Linked DNA regions of Macaca fascicularis. The main gene of each other region encodes a partner of the protein of the gene in region 3 in a complex. Links are inferred from orthologs where the notes say so. Each region holds a gene or a part of one and is shown on either strand. Other genes may lie near its edges. The genes, in order: NSMCE2, NSMCE3, EID3, SMC5 and NSMCE1.

Region 1 (3,380 bases), on a different chromosome or scaffold from region 3:
GGGTATGAAGATTATATGAGTTAATATAATGTAAAGCACTTAGAATGGCACCTGGTATACAGTAAGTACTCAATAAATGTTAGCTATTATTAGCTATTTTGGTTTTCCAGTGTCATCAGGGTATGCTTCAAATTTTGTTTAATTAAATAGTAAGGTTGATAAAAGGTTGCTAATGGAGACAATAGATTGGTACTCATTACACAATTAGAATATAATTGAAGACATTCAACTTAAAGACCCTGCTGGTGTAAGTCCATAGACTCTCAGGGGTCAGAGAACATCTTGTTGAACACCTTCACTTTATGGCTGAAGACACTAATGCCCAGGGGGATAAAGTCACTTGTAGTAAGCCATCTAGAAAAACAGAGAGCAGCTGGAATGTCGTTACTGTTGATGGTACTTTAGGTTCTTGGAGGGCTGCAGCAAAGTTTTCATTACAGGCATCAATCATCACTGCAATGCACTGATTAGCCAGTCACTGGAGCATTCTATTCCATTCAGAATGACAATAAAAGCATTTATATGTTTGGAACTGTCAATATACAATATAATACAAGAAAGTAAACTGACTTTGCTTTATAACCAAATGCTATTATTTACTATACTTACAGAAAATGCCTTGCAATGGGTGTTTTTTTATATGTTTTAATTTCAAATATCACTTGAAAGACATTCTTTTTATTTATTTATTTATTTATTTATTTATTTATTTTGAGATAGAGTCTTGCTCTGTTGCTCAGGCTGGAGTGCAGTGGTGTGATCTCGGCTCATTGCAATCTCCACCTCCTGGGTTCAACTGATTCTCCTGCCTCAGCCTCCTGAGTAGCTAGGATTACAGGTGCGCACCACCACACCTGGCTAATTTTTGTATTTTTGGTAGAGACGGAGTGTCACCATGTTGCCCAGGCTGGTCTTGAACTCCTGACCTCAAGTGATCTGCCCACCTTGGCTTCCCAAAGTGCTGGGATTACAGGTATGAGCCACTGCACCTGGCTGAAAAACATTCTTTAGCCAAAACTATTATAAAAATCAATCTGATGTCCTTGAAATGGAAAAGCCTGCACCTCTGGAACAATCCCTACATCAGGAGGCGTGCAGGGAGGACACTGCAGATGATCAAAGTTTTATTTAACATTATAGAACACTTAAAAATAAACAATATGCTTGCATTTCTGTTGTGTAACTTAGAAAAATGTTTTCAAGCACACATAAAAGCATCAAGTTTTACCCCAAACAAGTATGCTATGCAGCCAGTCCCTAACTGCTGGGGCCAGCACTGCTCTCAACAGACGGCTGAGGTAGGAGGTAGGCTGCTGGTGTCCCTGCGGGCAGGTGGCTTTTCCTATTCGGAATGATGTATTCTCTTGTTGTGGTTCTCAATCGCCCTTCTAAGTGCTTCATCCTGGATGAGATCCGACTTTCTTACATTCGTGTGGCTACAGCCAATTTTAGGGCAACTGCAAGGGAGAAAGAACATCAAGTCAGTCCCCTTTACTGCCTTAAGCAGAAACTTCTTTTACACTCAAGTGTTTAAGTAAGACTTCTAACGAAAAAGGAAAAGTGTTAAAGTCAGGACCAAGGTGCCCTCATTCATTGATTTGCTGAGTCCCTACCTGAGCCAGGTCCTGTCCAGATGCTGGGGACACAAGCGATATGTGAGTAGTGCCTATCTTATTAAGAGCTAACTTTCTAATGAGAAAGACAGGCTACCACTAGCGAACCAAATAAATGCTTGCTGTAAGTTCAGGTCACCTTATGGGCTATGAGGGCAACAAAGCAGGGTCAAGAAGAGACAGTGCTGGGGCCATGGCTGCTTTGGCTGGACTCAGGGCATGCCTCACCAAACACATCTCATCTTGGGCAGGACCCAGAATGAAGCATGGGAACAAGTCTGCATGTGGTCCGGGCTAAAGCAGTAGCGAGTACAGTGCTGAGGACGTCCAGCTTGGTGCCCTGGAGTGAGAGCAAGCTCTATGTGGCTGAAGCGACCCAGACAAGAGGGAGAGCAGTTGGAAGTGAGGTCAGTGGGCCAATGGGGCTTTGGATTTTATTTAATTTAATTTATTTATTTTGAGACAGAGTCTCACTCTTTCACCCAGGCTGGAGTGCAGTGGCGTGATCTTGGCTCACTGCAACCTCTGCCTCTTGGGTTCAAGTGATTCTCCTGCCTCAGCCTCCCGAGTTGCTGGGATTACAGGCGCCTGCCACAATGCCTGGCTAATTTTGTGTATTTTCAGTAGACACGGGGTTTCACCATGTTGGCCAGGCTGGTCTCAAACTCCTGACCTCAAGTGATCCACCTCCCTTGGCCTCCCAAAGTACTGGGATTACAGGTGTGAGCCACCGCCTAGATTGGATTTTATTTTAAATATGAAGACAAAACACTGGAAGGTTTTGAGATGGGGGAGGGGTGTGTTTGGTTTACATCTGGAAAATGTTACTCTGGCTGCTTATGGAGAACACAAAGCAGGGAGGTAAGAGAGGGGCAGGGAAAATAGCGTGGGGGATCCCGCAGGGTACAGGAGAGAGGTGAGGGCAGCTTGGTCGAGGGTGGCATGGCGATCAGCTTCAGGACACGCTTGACCATAGAACCTGTAGGACTTGTCAACGGAGCGGCTGTGGAGTGTAAGGGAAAGGGAAGAAGCGAGCTTCATCTGGGCAGATCAGTGACTGGTAGTGCCCTTTATCACAGTGGGAAATGATGGGGCAAAACAGGCTGCAGCACAGAGCCACAGTCCTGGTTGGTATCTGTTTCCTCTGGAACGGATGCCCAGTAGCTCTCCCAGAAGAGACTGAGTGGACCACTGAGACTCAGTGGAAAGGCTGCAGCTGAAGACACCAGTGTGAGTCACCCAGAAAGGGGTGGAAACAAGCCACGGCTCTGCTTCCATGTGATCTGCTCTGAGGGCAGTGGGCTGGATGACATCACCTATTTCTTCTCAAAGAATCTGGTTCTCAAAGTGAACCAAATTTTGGTAGATTAGAGGCCCAATGTTTGGAGTCAAGCTAATCTAGGTCTGAATTTTCTCTCTACCACCTACTTGCTAGTTATGAGACCACAGGCAATTCACAATAACCTTCTTGAGCCTCTCTTGCCTCTGATTTAAAATGGGGAGAGAACCCCTATTTCCCAAGGTGACAGGCAACACAGTGCTCAATGATGTTAATTCCCTTCCTGATCCCGTGACTATCATGTGTTCCCTCATCATCATTCTTCCAAGAAGTTTTAAAGTTCTGGATCTATTTCTACCTTGCATATATCCAACACAGGCATGTACCCATTCATGCATTAATTGATTCTTCTAGGGATCAGTCCTGTGCTAGGTTCTAAGCATGCAACTGTGAAATACAAATATATGGTTCCTGTCCACACAGAGCTC
Region 2 (4,176 bases), on a different chromosome or scaffold from region 3:
TTTTCCACTTTCCCCTTATATCTTGGTCACCGAACTTTTTTGACTCAAGGTAGACCATCCACATCCTGTGGTAGGGACCTTTTGCAGAATTCTAGATGGCAGGAAGCTTTTATGAACCTAAGTCCAAATTTTAATTTGCAAGGAAACTGAAGCAGATGAATTTTCTCATTGTAAAAAAATGAATACCTTGATAATATATTTGTTTTTCGTAGTAGGCCTTTGTCATTAAGCTTGATGCCTGAGGATATAGTTGTATCTTGTGTGGAACAGTAAGTTATTACTCACTGCGTATCAGATTTTAGCATACTTGCATTAGTTCATGGAATATGATTTTACATTTACTATAGCAGTTCCAGTGCCATTATCAGATTGCATTTTCCTACTGAATTACAAACAAATGTGTTATGCTACTAACATTTAACAAAATTTTAATAAGGTTGTGTTTGATGCTATTATTCAGATAATGTGTTCTAAATTGCTTTCCTTTGAATATATTTGCATTAAAGAGGAACTCGATTTGGTTCTTTGAAGAGTTTATCCACTTTCTGGGTAGCTTTAAAAAGACACAGGGAAATTCAGTTTCTTCTTTGCAAGTCAATAAATAGAGAAGAAACAAATTTGCTAAGATCTGTAGAAGTAATGGCAGCAGATTGCTGATGGTTTGAGTTAATGAAATGACTCATTTTGGCTACTTGAGTTGCACAATTAAAATATACATAGACTGCACACATCATAGATGAGGGATAAATACCCCTGTGTTCTCTTTTCTTTCTCAAAGCTAATATATTATGAATTAAGAAATTTAAGAGATCCACATTATTGCAATTCTTGATCAGTGATGCCCAAAATTAAGTGGTAATCTCTTGAGAGTGCACGTTTGCAGCATTCCTCTTACGCATTTCTGCTAAAATTGTGGCTGTGAGCTGAAGGCAGTTGTTTTCCAAAGGATAAACTCATTTGACCAAGCTAAAACATTTACTTAATATTGACAAATTTTGTGGGGTTTTCTCATAGTTGTCTAGCTAAAGGAGTTTAATGCAGAGAATACACATACGGAAATAGTGAAACCGAAGTCCTGCTTGCGCGGAAAGCCTGCAGCAGACTTTTGTTTTTAACAAACTCCACGGGGCATTAGAGAAAGTAACTGGGGGCAGTGGGTTGGAGGGTATAAAATTGAGCGGAGGGACGAAAACTAAGAGCCCTCTGGGTTTTTTATATCCTTCTACATGTTGTGTAGAAATAAATGCTTTTACTTCCACGGTCGTACCTTCCTCTTCACCTTTTTTTTTTTCTTTCTCACACATTCATCCTGTGAGATCTTTTCATTTACAAATGCTCCCGATTTAGAATTAGAAACTCATAATACCGTCTGTAAAACTTGCCTGAGCCTGTCTGGTCCTGAATTTAGCGACACACTTGTTTAGGAGTTTCGGTTCTCGTTCTCTGCTTGCATGGTTTAGTAAGAACAACACTTCGCTATACTGAAATTCACCGACCAGACCTGCAGGGCTGCACAGAAATCTCGGATGCTTTTGGTACCCCCAGCCCCGCAGCCGCGCAGGCGCACCGCCCAGCCGCCGTGACGCAAGGCGCAGGCTTCATGACGCGGCACGCAGTCTCAGCCGACACTGCGCGCCCCTTCTGGGGCCCCGCCCAGGCAGCGGCCTTAGCGGGTCGCCGACCCGCGATCCCAGCCGCGGCTGCTTGCTTGCCGGAGTGTGCACCGGTACGCGTCGCCGGTGACATGTTGCAAAAACCGAGGAACCGGGGTCGCTCTGGCGGCCAGGCCGAGAGGGACAGCGACTGGAGCCGTGGCGGAAACTCCGGGGCCTCGCGGGCGGGCGAACACGCCCGGGCCCGCAGAGACGGCTTCGCAGAGGAGGCCCCGAGCACTTCCCGGGGGCCGGGCGGCTCGCAGGGGTCGCAGGGCGCCCGCCGGTCCCAGGCCTCCCCCGCCGTGGGCCCCAGGACCCAGAAGCAGCAGGAGCTGAAAGTGTCCGAGCTGGTGCAGTTCTTACTGATTAAGGACCAGAAGAAGATTCCGATCAAGCGGGCCGACATACTGAAGCACGTCATCGGGGACTACAAGGACATCTTCCCCGACCTCCTCAAACGGGCCGCCGAGCGCCTCCAGTACGTCTTCGGTTATAAGCTGGTGGAACTTGAACCCAAGAGCAACACTTACATCCTCATCAACACCCTGGAGCCGGTGGAGGAGGATGCCGAGGTGAGGGGTGACCAAGGCACGCCCACTACGGGCCTCCTGATGATCGTCCTGGGGCTCATCTTTATGAAGGGCAACACCGTCAAGGAGACTGAAGTCTGGGACTTTCTGCGGCGCTTAGGGGTCTACCCCACCAAGAAGCATTTCATTTTCGGAGATCCAAAGAAACTCATTACCGAGGACTTTGTGCGACAACGTTACCTGGAATACCGGCGGATACCCCACACCGACCCCGTGGACTACGAGTTCCAGTGGGGCCCGCGAACCAACCTGGAAACCAGCAAGATGAAAGTTCTTAAGTTTGTGGCCAAAGTCCATAATCAAGACCCCAAGGACTGGCCAGCGCAGTACTGTGAGGCGTTGGCAGATGAGGAGAACAGGGCCAGACCTCAGCCCAGTGGCTCAGCCCCATCCTCTTGAAATCTGAGGTGGATTCAGAGGGACCCCCGGGACAAGGGTCTGAGACCCAAAGGCACAGTGCAGAGGAGCGGGGGAAGGGAGAACGAACCCAGGAAGCGTATTTCTGTAGCGTTTCAATGTGTGTAGCTTTAGGATGTGTTTGCAAAGTTTTGTTCTTTTAATGTTGTGTTATTTGGTTCCAGATTTTCATCTATAAACAAAGGAGCATTTGTTTTGCTTTGATTTTACTTTTTTTGGTATAAAAAATTTTCCTAGCTTAGTAAAACGAATTGGAAAACTTGACTATGATCTGAAACAGATATGCCAGAAGGAACACATAAGTAAGTTGCTTTGGTGCCAAGAAAATAAAAAAGTAGCTATTATCGGGTCTCTTAAGCATCCCAGTTTGTAAGGAAAAATAAAAGTCTTTATAAAATTAAAAATAAAAACGTAATTGCCTATATCCTTATTACCTTAACCTATTTTATTTTTTCTATATTTCCTACATATGTAAGTATTATTCATGGTTCCAAGCAATGAACGTGGTGTATTTTCTCCAAATAGCAATTGTTTATATTCATAATTACTCAGCTGTGTTGCTAAACATGCAGTTCCACTTAGTTTTTTTTACATGCTACTCTAGTTATTACAATAAATACTGTATTTTTGAAGCACTGAAGCATTGTGTGTTTTTTAAATCGTGGGCCATGAGACAATTTCATGACGAAATCAGCGTCTTAAAGTTTTTGCAACATATTGAGGTCAATGTTGTTTTGTAGAAGTTGTTTTACTTTTGTGTGTGTGTGTACAGGATCATGAGGTAAAATATATTTCTACTGTGGATACCAAAAAGGCTTATAAAACAATAGCGTAACCATTAACCATGCCTGCTTGGGAATCAGACTGCCTGGGTTCAGATCCTGGCCCCACCGTCACTAGTATAGGAATTTACGTAGGTTCCTTAGTTTGTATGCAGATGTTTCTTGACCTGTAAAATGGGTTTAGTCCCTGATGTGGAGGAATTTGCTTGTTATTCTTTAATGTTTTTATTTTTTATTCTCGGTCTGGAGCTGCCACTTTTTAAATACAACTTTTCTTTATCTTGTTTTCCAAATGATTCCTAGGAGAGCAATTACTGGTTCAAAAGGTATATTCCGCTAGTCTGACTCTATTGTATGGGGAAATAAGTATAAAGTGTATGGTGAGTATAGCCCACATAGAACAGTGAGAGCAGGACATAAGATCAACCTCGTAGGGAGTTAGGTATAGGGAAAAGGTGTGGGTCTTGGGGCTGTCTGGCAAACTGAATTTGAATTACGGCTCATGCTAACTTGTCAGCATGGTGATATGGTGGTAGGTTTTAAGCTGTCTGAATCTCAGTTTCTTTACCTGTAAAATGAAAAAAAATTATAGCTATATAATAGTTTGTTTTATGGACTAGATGAACTAGAAGAGTTCATAGTCCCATTGTATTCCTCCATTACATGTAGCAGATGCTGTTTTTAATGCAGAGATTCAACACGTTTTATTCAGTGGGTAAATAAGTATAATTG
Region 3 (5,011 bases):
GGTCAACTTCGTATTTTAACAGCTATTAGCTTTAGAGAAGACCCAAAAAATTACCTCTCCTAAGCCTCCAGATGATCTATTAATGCTTTTAAATCATCACTGTCAAATACTCCTAGTAAAGACACGAAGCATTCAACAGAGCAACTGATTGTCAGTAAAGTACCGGGGCGGGATCTGTTTGCTGTCATTAAGAGTACTTTTTCTTCCAACAGCAGATCTCTGCAAAACCCAAGGAAATTGGTTGGTAGAGACATGCTGGAAATGAGGATTACTGAGATCAAATGATACTTCCATGACTGCTACTATAAATCAAAGGATACTAGACACTAGCAACGGTGAGCGCTCTTTAGTATGTGAAAGGAGGAACTAATTTAGAAAATAATTGGCCAAGTTTCATAAGAAAGTTCTATTTTTGCTAAAACCACTACTGTATTATTGGTGAAGAACCTCATCCCCATACATGAAAGATCCTTCCTCTCAGTCTTGGTATCATTTGTTGAGTCTTTGGATTTCCCTTTCCTGTACTACTAGACTTACTAGGAAAGTTTGCCACTGCTATGCACAACAGATGCCTAAACATTTGCCAAATTATTGTTTAATGGCAAAATTCCACGACTACCAAAACTTAAGCTCCTATAAGGATCAAAGGAAAGAAAGTTTATGGGCATGCTTACTGCACCTTCTCAAGTTGTTTTCCTAATGACCCAAACTTTTGGCAATAATCTCCAAATAAGGTTGTAATTTATATTCTTAAAACAACTGCAAGCAACAGAAAGAAAAAAGCCTTTATGGCTTTACACTAAGTGAAGAACATCTAGATAAACTAACATGTTTTAGTTTCAAGCAGGGTCAGTTTCCTGGCATTTAAAACCCTACTAAGAAATGCAAAATTTGGCTCACACTTGTAATCCCAGCACTTTGGGAGGCTGAGGCAGGTATTTGCTAGGTGTGATGGCACGCACCTGTAATCCCGGCTACTTGGGAGGCTGAGGCACAAGAATTGCCTGAACCCCAGAGGCAGAGGTTGTAGTGGGCCAAGATCGCTCCACTGCACCCCAGCCTGGGCAACAAGAGTGACACTTGTCTCAAAGAAAAAAAAAAGATAAAAATGCAAAATTAAAGTGGGACAAATATTCAAAGTTGTTACATGATGAAACAGTGCAGATTCTGAAGGACATTCTATGTACTAACAAAGACCACAAAGGGACACTAGGGGCCAGAGAAGAAATTCAGTAGATAAAAACTACAACTGGATAGCAAAAGATTTTGTGTTCAACGTATAATAGTTAGACAAAAATATCTTCTGAGGATACTAATAGATGAAGTTATTCAATTGTTGCCCAGCTTAACAATCAAATAGAACAGTTTTTCCATAAATCTAATGGTCCTCTCGTGCCTAACTTCTAACAATTCCATGCATTTGACCTTGCTATTCTCCTGCCTAGAATGCCTTTTCCTTCTCCGTGTTTCTACTCAACTTTCAGCCCTTAGCTGACACCTCAACTTCTACAGCAGAGACACTACTTTTGCTGAGTCTAATAACAGAAACTGTTGAGAATATGGATACTCCCTCATAAATCCTGTCTTCTTTGCAATGACTTTTTTATTCTTAATGTTGCATATTAACTGCCTTACAGACAAGTTGTTGTTGTTTGTTTGCTTTTTTTTCCACTTTTGTTTTTTACCCACTCTTTCCCCAACGTGGTTAGGAACTCTTTCTGGGATTCTCTTGGTTCTCTATGACAGAGAAAGCAATGTATCACAGAGCATCATAATTGATTTTCGTAAATTATTATGTTTTGCGAATTATCAAATATCCCTTAATTTGGTATCCAAAACTTGTTTTTGTTAATAGTCTTAAAGGGCATTCAATAAAACGCTCCCATAAATATGCCAACGAATTTTTTTTAATAAGAGAAGATCATGACCTTATAAATTACTAAGAAAAATATGCTGCACAGTAAAACAATGTCTGATGTTCTTGAAGATACTTTTTCACTTTACAAGACATACAATATGTGCTTCAGTTTACATTTGACTCTCCATTTGAGATAACTTCAGAAAAACACACAAAAAGGATCCTATACTAAGAAATCTTTAGTATGAGGAGTATGTAATCATAGCCTCAGAAATTTCAAAAGCTGCCACAATGTTTTTCCACTCCTGTAAAGTCAAAGATATGACTCCCTGTTTCCTACCATGGCAACTGGAATCATTTCCCTCACCCATTTGGTTAACATTCATCGGCTCTAATATTGGCAGCCTGTCTTCATCAAGCCTTATTCTTGCAAAACCATCTCTTACAATAAAAGAAACATAAAATATATTCTCCACAGTACGAGAAAAAGAGTTTGGATCAATCACAAACTCAAAATAGGACACAGGAGTATCAGGATACTTTCGAAAGTAGGTTTGCAACAATCCCAAAATCCTTTCTACGTTTTTTTCTGTCGCTTCTGGATAACTACTCAGGTCCAGCTTCCGCAACTTTGTAGGCATATTCCCATTTTCCTCCATCTTGCGAACTTTTTTCTGGTGTTCAAGTCGGGGCTTTGGTGCAGAAGGTTCTAGTTTGAATGAACCAAAAACAAAATGGAATGTCTCAGCTTTTACCATCCAGGATGTTGCTTCCTTTTCCATTGCCTTCCAGAAGGAAAGAGCTATGTTATCATCACAATCACTCAAGTCGTCAGGCTCGCCTTCCATCCAATTCAGACCCCCGAACAGAAACAGAAAGTCACAAAATGCTAACTGATTAAAGAAGTTCAGGTCAGAGTTTAACTGCTTTGCCTTTTCTTTACCCAAGTCAGAAGCCATGACAAGAAACTGGGCGTCGAGGGCTGCTTCTCTGGTTCGGCTCACTCCATCAAACAGGACGTTGGCTTCCTCCAGAGCCTCGGTCAAGGAGTTGTTCGCCGAGTTCACGATGTCCTCCCGGTTCTGCCGCACGCAGTACATGAGCTGCCGGTACTGCCTGCGGATGCTGCGGCACTTCTCCTCGTCAGCGGTGAGCTCCAGGAGTTTTGGGTCTATGTCGGCATCCCCAGAGCTGAGGTCGTCGGAGCAGCCCGTGACCCTCACCGCCACATCCATCTTCATCGGCGCTCCCTCCGCCGCCGCCGGCTTCGCCGCGTACTCGCTACTAGGGATGAGCACGAGCTGCTCCTCTCCTTTCTCGTCGTCTCCCTTGCGGGAAGCTTTTTCAACCGACATGCCGGCCACTGGTATCTCCGAGGTAACGGCCCTCCCAGCTTGTGGAAACTGGCGGCAGTTGGAGCCGCGGACGCCCGCCCATGCGCATTAGCGGCCCGGCCCGGCGCGACCCGCCCCCAGCACGCTCCGCGGGAAGACAGCCCCGCCCCGGCCCGGATGCACCACGACCCGAGGCGCTCGCTCATAGGCAAGCGCCGCGCTCCGAACACGCGCAATAATGGGCCCCGACCCCAAACGCGAGTTATGCCCGCTCAGGGCACAGCTGTTCTTTTTCAAAGCGTTTACCGACTGGATCACCTCACTTTAAAAAAAACACTTTTGGACAACTTGAGACAAAACTGTTGAGGACACTAAAGGTCCTGCGCTTTAAAACGATCGCTGCCATCATATACCGCAGTGAGGTCGACCGAGGGTTTTGTTTTTTTGTGAACTAAATCTGGCTGGACTGTAACCGCCGGTAAGGCCAAGGCCCGTGAAAAGCAGAAACTCCATTAAACAGGCTGAACTCTCAGTTCTTTTGCAAGGTGGTGTTTAGACTTATTATACAAATGTAAATCGGGTTAATTACTTTCACAGGTCCTCTTTAAAAACCAAACCCCCTCCATCACCCCATCCCGAAGATCTGTGGGGTCGGGGGAGCCTCCAGTATGCGTGCTAACCCCTGCAGGAAACTGAGTGCTCGCATTACTCAAGTGAACTTTGGTTCTCCACCATCCAGGAGTGGAAGAATAGAATGATGGGTAGAGATCTCTGCAAAAGAGCTATTTGCTTGTAAGCTTGCCAACATATAAAGGCCGGCCATCGACACTGAATGGGTAAGAACTCTGAACCCTAAAAGGTGAGCAAAGCTATGAAGATTTCAGAAACAATCTAAGGATATGAAAGCTTAATCTGTAAACTGGGTGACTAATCTGCGTTGGAAAATTTACCCATTGGATTTAATGGGGTCACTGGAAACTCAAGTGCAGTTAACCACAGGACTCCGCTTATCTGTCTCACCAGTAGCAAATAGCAAAGTATACTTAACAACTGTAATTAATACATCTGGTTTTTAAAGAGAACATGCACACAACCAAACCATGGGCATCAACAGCTTTTCAAACCTGCAGCAGGTGCACCTTAAAAAAAAGACACCCACAACTGCACCTGTCCAGTTTCACAGCACCAGGAAGTAAATTAGCCCTACCATCCTTTATGCAGATAGACTTGTTCGTATTTAGCATTAGCAGAAGGTTTTTTGCAAATGCATAAACAGCAAAATCTAGTAGTATTAAGTTACTCCAAAATCCTTATATTACCATTTGCCCCCAATTATTTTATTAACTAGGGGTAATTCAGGGAAATACATGCATTTTTCAAAACACCATGCATTACGGTTAGTTGTACGTATATATGATCCTATGCTATTAGATTGTCGGCTTCTCAAAAACAAAAGCTGGGTTTTACATCTTCCAAACATAGCTGTTTTTACATGGATGCACTTATGTACTGAATGTATAAATTAAAATAGATTTAAAACTGTCCCAGCATCTACTGTAAGTTTTTTGGCAGCAAAGATTAAGTTCACAGATTCGTGGAAGTAATCCTATACACTGAAAGGAAAAGTTGACTGCTCTTCAGAAAAAGTTCTTATCCCTCTTCTGAAATAAAGAAACAATGAGAGATAGGTAAGTTGAGACCCAGGATCATTAAAGGATCATATCTTTCCCAAGTCTGGCCAATTACAAACCAGTATTTAAACTTGTTTTAAATCTTAGGTGAAAATACAGCTAAGAATGCCAAGACCCAAATCCAAAAA
Region 4 (4,255 bases), on a different chromosome or scaffold from region 3:
CAAAAAAAGTGACCCTAATAGAATCCCATAGGTGATTTTCTCCTTTCTTTCAACATTTTGGTAAACAAAACTTTTCACAGATATAACTCTAAAGTAAATAAATAATTTATATGTACTTTAAGCATATAATTAAAATTACTTGCCAGAAATATATTTCAAATGCAATTTTACCTCATTTTCTGTATGGAGATCAACTTCACCAGCACACTGCATAGAACTAAAAAAATTGCTGAATTTTTCATTAATTTTTTCTACCAGCTCTTTTAAAGGATTAAGCCACCTTTCTTTTACCTACAAATAAACACAATATAAAAACATAATTTAAAAGCAGTATTACTATATTGTGACACAAAATTTCACGTAAATTTTATATCAGTATCAGTCTGGGCATAACACACTTCTCTTAAGCATGTCATCTCATTTTCCATTATTCTACATTCCCATTTCATTAATAATCACATGATAAAAAGTAAAGATTAAAAACTAAAAAAATTACCTGTGAAATGTTTTCCCTGTATTGATCTAGTTCAACTTTCTTTCCCTTTAGTTCCTCAGTTAACTGCTCTATTTCTTCTTCTCTTTTTGTATACTCCTGAACAATCTGGCAGGGGGAAAAAAAAACTTCTTTAAGATAAATCTACCAAAGTATAAAAGTATATACAATTTTGCATTGATTAAAACATTAACTGAAAATGGCAATTGTGCTGTATTGTTTGTATGCAAATAATTTATGTTCTTATTACATACTGAAAGTGACATTTTTTATCCTTGAAAAACTAGACATTGCAGTATTTCAGGTTAGCCCGACTATTCTTTTTATAAAGAAAAGGCACAGAACATTGTGTTCCTTAGGAAGAATCTATTTAAAATTCTAATAGATTCAGAATCTGGCATTTAAAGCACATTGTTCCTGCTGTCTAGCTTATCATTACCAAGAGCTCTAGTACAGAGTGGGAGGCAAGTACTGGAGGGAACTCTGTGTGTGTATGTGTGTGTATGGGGAGGGTGGTGGTGGTGGTGGCTGGATGCAGAATGGGAGTAGAGAAACAGGCATACTGTAGGATTCAGTCCCGTGAAGCAGGAAGCTCTTGATCTTTCTTCAGTTAATAAAGCATCAATTTCATCCAATGTGTTTGGAAGGTCTTGGAAAACCTAAAGAAAAAAATTGCCCATCATTATAGATACAATGAAAACGGTTCCATTCAAATAGTTAAAAGAAAAATAATCTGCTGAATAAGTTATCTACTATCTGTTCTACAGCATGCTGGTACACAAGGATACAAAGGAATAATAAACAGGGTCATTTGCCTTCGAAAGTTTGTATTTTAAAGAAAACAAAATGTATGTACTGGATAACACCTTAAGGCAACGTATTGATGTTGAGTATTCAAACAAGCAGTACATATCTTATAGGCTAGGGAATTTAGAGAAAAGAAGTATCAGTTCATGCTATAGGAGAGTTAAGAGAATCCAAAGGCCTAGAATTCATCTCTGGGCCTTAAAGCAAATGGCTAGGGAGGAGCAAGGCAGAGGGAAGACAGGAGCTTGGGAAAAAAGAATGAGTACTGCATACCATGGGGAGTGAGGAGTTGTGTCCATTTGGAATGGTGGGTACTTGCTGAATTGGTAGAATGGGTCCAGAATATGTGGGGCATTGAAAGAGAGCAAGAAGTTAGAACTTTATACTGCACTTATGAAGAACTAAAAAAGCATCCTTAGTATCTAATTACTTTGACAGTTGAATTTCACCACGGTACTATCTTCTGAGTCCATGCCATGGGGACAAATTAGAACAGACACTTTTTTTTTTGAGGGGAGGCAAACAATTACATTGTTTGACTTAGCACGACCTGCAAAGGCTGTATACTACATGGTACAAAATGAATCCTGAAACCCTGAAAAAGATCTTGACATATTAATCTAATATCTTCAGCTTATTATTTTAACCTCTTAGAAAGCAGTTCAACTTCTATAGACCTTCAAATATTCCTTTGTTGAATCTCTGACGTACTCACTGAGATTTAAGCTCATGTGTCCAACATTTATTTACTCGATATCCTCACTTGACTCTAACAGGCATCTTAAATTTAAGATGGTGAAACAGAATCTGGATTTCACCCACCTTACCTACCACTTCAAGCAACCCTGTTTCTCCTTCAATCTTCTCCATTCCAGTAAATAGCACCGTAATTTGTTCGGGTGAAAAATTTAGGGGTTCTCTCTCTTATCCTTCATGTCAAATCCATCAGCAAGTCTTGCTGGCTCTGTCACTAAAAGATATCTAAGATCTGTCAACTTCTCCCTCTCTCTCTTCAGTGCTATCACCCTAATTCATGCCATTATATATCTCTTGCGTGGTCCAAAGAAATGACCTCCTAAATGGTTTCATTGCTTCCATTCTTGTATCCCTACTTTATCCTCCATCTAGAAGAACAGAAGTTAAGAGTGCTCTTTCATAAAAGTAGTAATGTCACTTTTCTGTTTAAGATCCTCCACTGGAGTCCATCCCAAAAGAATACAACCTTAATTCCTTGTATGGTCTAAAAGCCCTACATAATCTTGGCCTCTGCCTTCTTCTCTGCTTGGATAATTTTTAACCCCAATGAGATTCCTTTTATTCTGAAATGTCCCAAACATACTTCTGTTCTGGGCTTTGTCTAAGTTGTTTTCTCTGTCTGGAATACTTTTCCCTCACATCTTCACTTGACTGATCTGTTCTCTTCATTCAGGACTGTTATAAAATGGTATCTTTTCAAAGGAGGCTTCCCTTACCAAGTTCCCATCCATGTCACTCCATCTCCTCACCCTGTTTTATTTTTCTTAGCATTTCTTGTTATCTGACATTATCTGATTTTTGATTTGTGTTTTCATCTACCTAATCTTCCAGACTAGAATATAAGTTTCAGCTGAGATGGAAGTATGTCTGTCTTGTTCAATGCTTGCCATATAGGAGGTAATTAATACATTTTAATGATTAATCATCTTCTAATTTTGATTCAAAAACAGTATGACTTATCAAGAACAGAATCATGCTTTTTCTGAAAGAAAAAATTAGTACAGATTGTACTTATATTTATTTTATAACAACACAATGTATTCTGAAGATATTCTACTGTTTTTAGAAATAAGCTTCTCAATTTGTTTTAAAGATATCTACTGAGTTCCTAGTATGTATCCAAATAGTCGAATCCATTCTCTGTGATTCTGTGTCTGATATCATAAAATAAATCAGTTGAGGATTTGAAAATTATAATCCATTAATTTTTTTCCAGTTGTTTATATCTTTAGTAGTCATTTCATTATCTATTGAAATAGATAACATTTGAAATTAAGAATTTTAAAAAGACACACCAATACTAGATATTTTAAAATTTATTTTATAATTTCATTTTGACATTATTCTGAATAGGTATGCAGGCAAAGTATCATCCCCACTTGTCACAGAGGTATGTAAATTAACAGTGGGATGTGACTAAAGGGCAGCATCTCCTAATTTTACTGAGTGGTATGTCAGCATAAAACATATAATGGAAGTAAGACCTCTTTTTTTCCTTTTCTTATTGGCAGATGTTAGTCCTAAATATTCAGCTCCCATTGAACCCTAATTAAACACCCCAATTTCCGGGGAAACATTTTCATTTTCCCTTTATTTTTAAAATGTCCTATTTGTTATTTCTGATATACCAATTACTGGCACAATATTTCCATGGAAAACTGTATGTTCCAACTGTACCCATTAAAAGGCATTTGTATTGGAAGAATAAATGTTATAGTACCAATAACATTGATCTGTTAAGCAACATTATTTTATATATCTATTCAGTTTAAAAATGTGGAAAAACTCCCTATTTTTTATGACACATCATATTTTTCATGGCCTGTTACAATGCTTAAGATCCTATAATCTTAAAAATATGTTAAATATGGCAATTGTAGCATTATATACTTTTTATACTTACTGTCTGGTATTCTTGAGGAAGAGTCTGCTCTGCACCCAGGTTACATACTTGCCTAGCTCTCTTCATAAGTTCCTTGCATTTCTGCAATAATCTCTGTCTGTTTTCATCCAACTCAATGAAATGTTGCTATTAAAAAAATTTATTTCGAAAATTTGAATGTTACTGTTAAAGCAGAGGGCTGTTTTATTAAACTACCACATATTAAATACATTGTTGAATTCTGATTATAATGATAATCAAATTATCTGAAACCGTATCTCAAATAATGACTCTTTTTATTATAAAGGTTAAATTTG
Region 5 (4,753 bases), on a different chromosome or scaffold from region 3:
AAAGTCATCTTTAAATTACTTACACTACTTAATACAATGTAAATGCTATATAAGTAGTTGCTATGCTGTATTGCTTTCAGAATTTGTATTATTTTTATTTTTGTATTGTTATTTTTATTGTTTTTCCTCCACAAATATTATCCATCCGTAGATGGGGAACCTATAAACAGGGATGGCTTACTATACTTTGTCCTGTGTCTTGGAGATACTGAGTTTAAGGCCCAGGATTCTATGTTGACCATCCAGCTCCAAAGCTCGAGGTTTTAATCACCACACACTACTGCTTTCCCACTTGGCAGATGAAACTGAAGCCCAGAGAGGTTAAGAAGTTGTCCAACATCAGGCCGGGCGCGGTGGCTCACGCCTGTAATCCCAGCACTTTGGGAAGCCGAGGCGGGCGGATCACGAGGTCAGGAGATGGAGACCATTCTGGCTAACACGGTGAAACCCCATCTCTACTAAAAATACAAAAATTAGCCAGGCGTGGTGGTGGGCGCCCGTAGTCCCAGCTACTTGGGAGGCTGAGGCAGGAGAATGGCGTGTGCCCGGGAGGCGGAGCTTGCAGTGAGCCGAGATGGCGCCACTGCATTACAGCCTGGGGGTCAGAGCGAGACTCCGTCTCAAAAAAAAAAAAAAAAAAAGGTTGTCCAAGATCACAGGGGTGGTGAGTGACCAAGCCTGTATTTGAGTTATCCTCACAGAGACAGACATTTGCAGGTACCGCTGTTCTATATTAGTTACCTGTTTCCCTTGCTAGGCTGCATCCCTAGCTCTCAGACTAGGGATAGTATACAAACGTTTGGAAAATTAATGCCTTGAAGATTCAAAACAGTCTATTCACTTCCAAGAGTAATTTCACTTGCTTTCTCACAATCCCTAGGTAAGATAATAGTTAACATTTAATCAGCACTCCCATGTGACACTTTTCAGTGGCTATGCTAAGCACCTAAATCTCACCAACACTATTTTGCAAGGACTAATATCCCCATTTAATGGAAGAGGAAACTGAGGCTCAATGACTTGCCCAAGCTTCTGCCAACTAGTAAGTGGCAGAGCCAGGATTCTAGCTCAGGCTGTATGACCACAGAGTCCACATTTTTCTTTTGTTTTTTATGAGACTAAGTCTTGCTCTGTCACCCAGGCTCGAGTGCTGTGATGCAATCTGGCTTACTGCAACCTCTGCCTCTCGGGTTCAAGCAATTCTCCTGCCTCAGCCTCCCGAGTAGCTGGGATTACAGGCACACACCACCACGCCCAGCTAATTTTTGTACTTTTAGTAGTGACGGGGGTTTCACCATGTTGGCAAAGTTGGTCTCGAACTCCTGAACTCAAGTGATCGGCCCGCCTTGGTCTCCCAAAGTGCTGGGCCTACAGGCATGAGCCACCGCGCCCGGCCAGAGTCCACATTTTTGACGACGAGGCCACACTGTCAGTTCCACAGATGGGGAAACTGAGGCCCGGGGCAGGGCACTACATTGTGCCGGCGGAATCGTGGCCAGTGGGGGAAGCACGGGCTGCGCGCCGATTCTTCCTCCTTGGTCAGGGAAGTCACTGAGGTGCAGGAGGCGGAGGGCGACAAGTGGAAGCCCCTTCCCATTATTAAGGATGGAGAGCGGCGCAGTAATTGGGATCTAACCCACGAGGCGGAAACACTAGGGAAACGGCGCAAACGGAAAGCCGGAAGTGCGTCACCCAACGGACGGGCGAATCGTTTGCAGGCCACCAACGGGAACGCCGCGTTCGCGTTCGCCCCGCCCCAAAGGAAGAAGAGTCCGCCTTGCGACCGTATCCGCTAGCGCAGCGCGGGTTGCGCTTGGGCACCCTGGTGGGTAACGCGGCGCGCTAGGGGGTAGAGGGGAAAGAAGAGGGACTTCGAGGAAGGCGAGGGGAGGACGGAAGGTGGGGTGGGCGAGACAGGCAGTGGGGTCTGGCCCCGTGGTCTATCCTCGTGGGCTGTGGAACTCGGGGACGGGGGTCTTGGGGCTCCCCCTTCTTGATGGGGAAACTGAGGCCCAGAGAGGGGCCGCAGAAGGCAGCGGACTGGGATCTCCTCCCACAACACACACAAAGACATCTAAAAATCGTACTATTTAGTGAAAAATATTTTTAATCGTAATTACGATTTAACAGGTAAGGATACTTTTCATCGTAATAGGTGAAAAAGCAAAATATAAAATTCGATTCAAACTGTGATTACATCTATGGAAAACACAGCCTTCGCCGACCACCCTGTCTGTCCCGCCGCCCTCCGTGCTCCCCTCTGTTTTTGTGTACGGAGTTTCTCACTTTGTACAAGTCCGCAGCCGCTTGTGTTACAGCCCCGAGGCCAGATGCGTTTAAAATCGAGGATTTCTCGGACTTTGGAAAGGTAAAGTGCGTATGTTCTATGTTAGGTTTCACCCTCAGTGGGGGCTGGAGCAGCGGCTTGCAATCAAATACACGACCCTTTCCACAGCTAAAGATATGAAGATATGCATATATTATATTGACCGGGTCGCGGTGGCTCAGGCCTGTAATCCCAGCACTTTGGGAGGCTGAGGCGGGCGAATCACCTGAGGTCCGGAGTTCCAGACCAGCCTGGCTAACATGGTGAAACCCCGCCTGTACTAAAAATACAAAAAATTAGCCGGGCGTGGTGGCGCGTGCCTGTACTACCAGCTACTCGGGAGGCTGAGGCGGGAGGCTGAGGCAGGAGAATCACTTGAACGAGGGAGGCGAAGGTTGTAGTGAGTCAGGATCGCGCCACTTCACTCCAGTTGGGGCAACAAGAGCGAAACTCCGTCTGAAAAAAAAAAAAGATATGCATATATTTACACTGTTGGGATAAATAACCATGGATAGCCCCACCTTAAGTCAGGTCAAGTTCTCCAACGTAAGAAACAAGTTTTGGTATTCAGACTTTTTTTTTCCCCTGCGTCCGATCATCCACTAGTATTCATACCTTTTTAGATTTGAGGGTTGCAGATGAGGGACCTGGATTGTAGCTGTTCTGTTCACTCACTTTTCTCACTCTCGCTGGATAAGAGAGTGTCTTTGAGAACAGGAACCGTGCTGTTGTATGGTCACGTCTCTCTCTGCCACCAACTCTTGTGTGTCACCTTGTGCCCTTTTAGTCTCAGTTTCCTCATCTGTAAGATGGGGTCAGTGATCCTTTGCTCATAAGGTGCTGGTTGGGGTTAAATGATGTCGTGCATGTGAAGCACAAGAATTGTGTTAGCACCTGCACGAATGGTATGACTGAGATTTACTTATTCCACAAACATTTATATTTCAAAATTATTAAATTTAAATAAATTTATTATTAAATGAATTAAATGCATTAATTAATTAAAAGTATAGATGTATTTCTTAAAATGTGGGTGATAGGAATTTTAAAGATTTATATAATGCTTCAAAGCCTTAGAAAAGGTTTTCTTTAGTTGGTTTATCTGTATATCTGAACTCTTGAAACTTAAAGCTAAAATACTAGGATTTATCTGCAGGGTTGCAGAGAGATAATTCTGCCTTAAATTGTCTAAAACAAAAACAAAACAAGACAATATGTTATACATGGGATTAAAACCAATTTTTCTCCCATTTTTTCTCCTTTTTTCTTTTGCTGCCCACATTGTGCCTTTATTTTATGAGCCCCATTTTTCTGGGCTTAGTTAAAAAAAAAAATTCAATTCTAAACGTTGAATTTAGGGAGTTTTTGTTCTTAAATAAAAAGGCATAGACTTAAAAAAAATAAATGTTTATCCAGGAAAATATATTGAAATCATGCTGCTGAGCCTCTATTTTCTTTGATGTTTTGGTTCGGTATTCTTTTATCATAAATTCTTAGCATTTAAAAATTTACTGATGTACATTTAAAGCCAATAAACTTTTAATTAATACAAATATATATATATATATATATATTTTTTTTTGTGATGGAGTCTCACCCTGTCACCCAGGCTGGAGTGCAGTGGCGCGATCTTGGCTCACTGCAACCTCCAGCTCCTGGGTTCAAGCGATTCTCCTGCCTCAGCCTCCTGAGCAGCTGGGATTACAGGCGTGCACCACCATGCCTGGCTAATTTTTGTATAAAATAGAATTATTTAAGTAGGTGATACATGTATGTCTATGGCTAATCCCACCATTCTCTCCACAGTCTCTTCTCATAGAGACAAGGGATACAATATGCATAAACAAACTTATGGTTGTCTTTCTTCCACTCCTACTTTCCCGCCCCTTTTCCACCAAATCATAGCATTCAATCGTATCTTGTTCTCATTCTCATTTACATTTATTTTGGCTGTTATTTAACATATTCATGTTACTTTTTTTTTTTTTTTGTGGAGAGTGGATCTTGCTATGTTGCCTAGGCTGGTCCTAAAGTCCTGGTCTCAAGCAGTCCCCCCACCTTGACCTCCCAAAGTATTGAGATTACAGGTGTGAATCACCATGCCCGGCCCATCACATTTAAAAACATTGTATGTAACATACCTATACAATTGTGTGGAAGTATAAGTTTGAAGGACAAAAATGAAATGAACGCTCATGTACCTGCCACCAAGTTAAGAAATAGACATTTTCAGATCCCCAAACCCCCCACTGAATCCTTTCTTCCCTCCTCAAAGATAACTACCACTCTGAATATTGTGTTACTTGTTCCTTTGTTTTGCTTTGTAGTTTTTGCGATGTATGTTCGTATCTCTAATGAATATAATGTATGCTTTTGCTGAGTTCGATTTTATATGATAGGATCCTAAAATATATTTTGTGTGACTTG

The links.
Region 1: EID3 (region 3) and NSMCE2 share a complex: the UniProt entries of both Homo sapiens proteins name them as parts of the SMC5-SMC6 complex. The link is inferred for Macaca fascicularis from reciprocal best matches to the Homo sapiens genes EID3 and NSMCE2.
Region 2: EID3 (region 3) and NSMCE3 share a complex: the UniProt entries of both Homo sapiens proteins name them as parts of the SMC5-SMC6 complex. The link is inferred for Macaca fascicularis from reciprocal best matches to the Homo sapiens genes EID3 and NSMCE3.
Region 4: EID3 (region 3) and SMC5 share a complex: the UniProt entries of both Homo sapiens proteins name them as parts of the SMC5-SMC6 complex. The link is inferred for Macaca fascicularis from reciprocal best matches to the Homo sapiens genes EID3 and SMC5.
Region 5: EID3 (region 3) and NSMCE1 share a complex: the UniProt entries of both Homo sapiens proteins name them as parts of the SMC5-SMC6 complex. The link is inferred for Macaca fascicularis from reciprocal best matches to the Homo sapiens genes EID3 and NSMCE1.

What each region holds. Positions count from the first base shown.
Region 1 is NC_088382.1:135,022,956-135,026,335, reverse strand, and holds the end of NSMCE2 (E3 SUMO-protein ligase NSE2), read right to left. Parts: intron 1,458-3,380; coding exon 1,343-1,457; 3' UTR 1,108-1,342; downstream 1-1,107. UniProt on the Homo sapiens protein: E3 SUMO-protein ligase component of the SMC5-SMC6 complex, a complex involved in DNA double-strand break repair by homologous recombination. Is not be required for the stability of the complex.
Region 2 is NC_088381.1:8,206,916-8,211,091, forward strand, and holds NSMCE3 (non-structural maintenance of chromosomes element 3 homolog), read left to right. Parts: upstream 1-1,630; 5' UTR 1,631-1,744; coding exon 1,745-2,644; 3' UTR 2,645-3,294; downstream 3,295-4,176. UniProt on the Homo sapiens protein: Component of the SMC5-SMC6 complex, a complex involved in repair of DNA double-strand breaks by homologous recombination. The complex may promote sister chromatid homologous recombination by recruiting the SMC1-SMC3 cohesin complex to double-strand breaks.
Region 3 is NC_088385.1:111,236,303-111,241,313, reverse strand, and holds the start of EID3 (EP300-interacting inhibitor of differentiation 3), read right to left. Parts: upstream 3,296-5,011; 5' UTR 3,214-3,295; coding exon 2,098-3,213; 3' UTR 1-2,097. UniProt on the Homo sapiens protein: Tissue-specific component of the SMC5-SMC6 complex, a complex involved in repair of DNA double-strand breaks by homologous recombination.
Region 4 is NC_088389.1:101,047,941-101,052,195, reverse strand, and holds part of SMC5 (structural maintenance of chromosomes protein 5), read right to left. Parts: intron 4,086-4,255; coding exon 3,960-4,085; intron 1,645-3,959; exon of another isoform or gene 1,619-1,644; coding exon 1,574-1,618; intron 1,153-1,573; coding exon 1,057-1,152; intron 602-1,056; coding exon 497-601; exon of another isoform or gene 493-496; intron 292-492; coding exon 172-291; intron 1-171. UniProt on the Homo sapiens protein: Core component of the SMC5-SMC6 complex, a complex involved in repair of DNA double-strand breaks by homologous recombination.
Region 5 is NC_088394.1:26,348,397-26,353,149, reverse strand, and holds the start of NSMCE1 (non-structural maintenance of chromosomes element 1 homolog), read left to right. Parts: upstream 1-1,758; 5' UTR 1,759-2,368; intron 2,369-4,753. UniProt on the Homo sapiens protein: RING-type zinc finger-containing E3 ubiquitin ligase that assembles with melanoma antigen protein (MAGE) to catalyze the direct transfer of ubiquitin from E2 ubiquitin-conjugating enzyme to a specific substrate.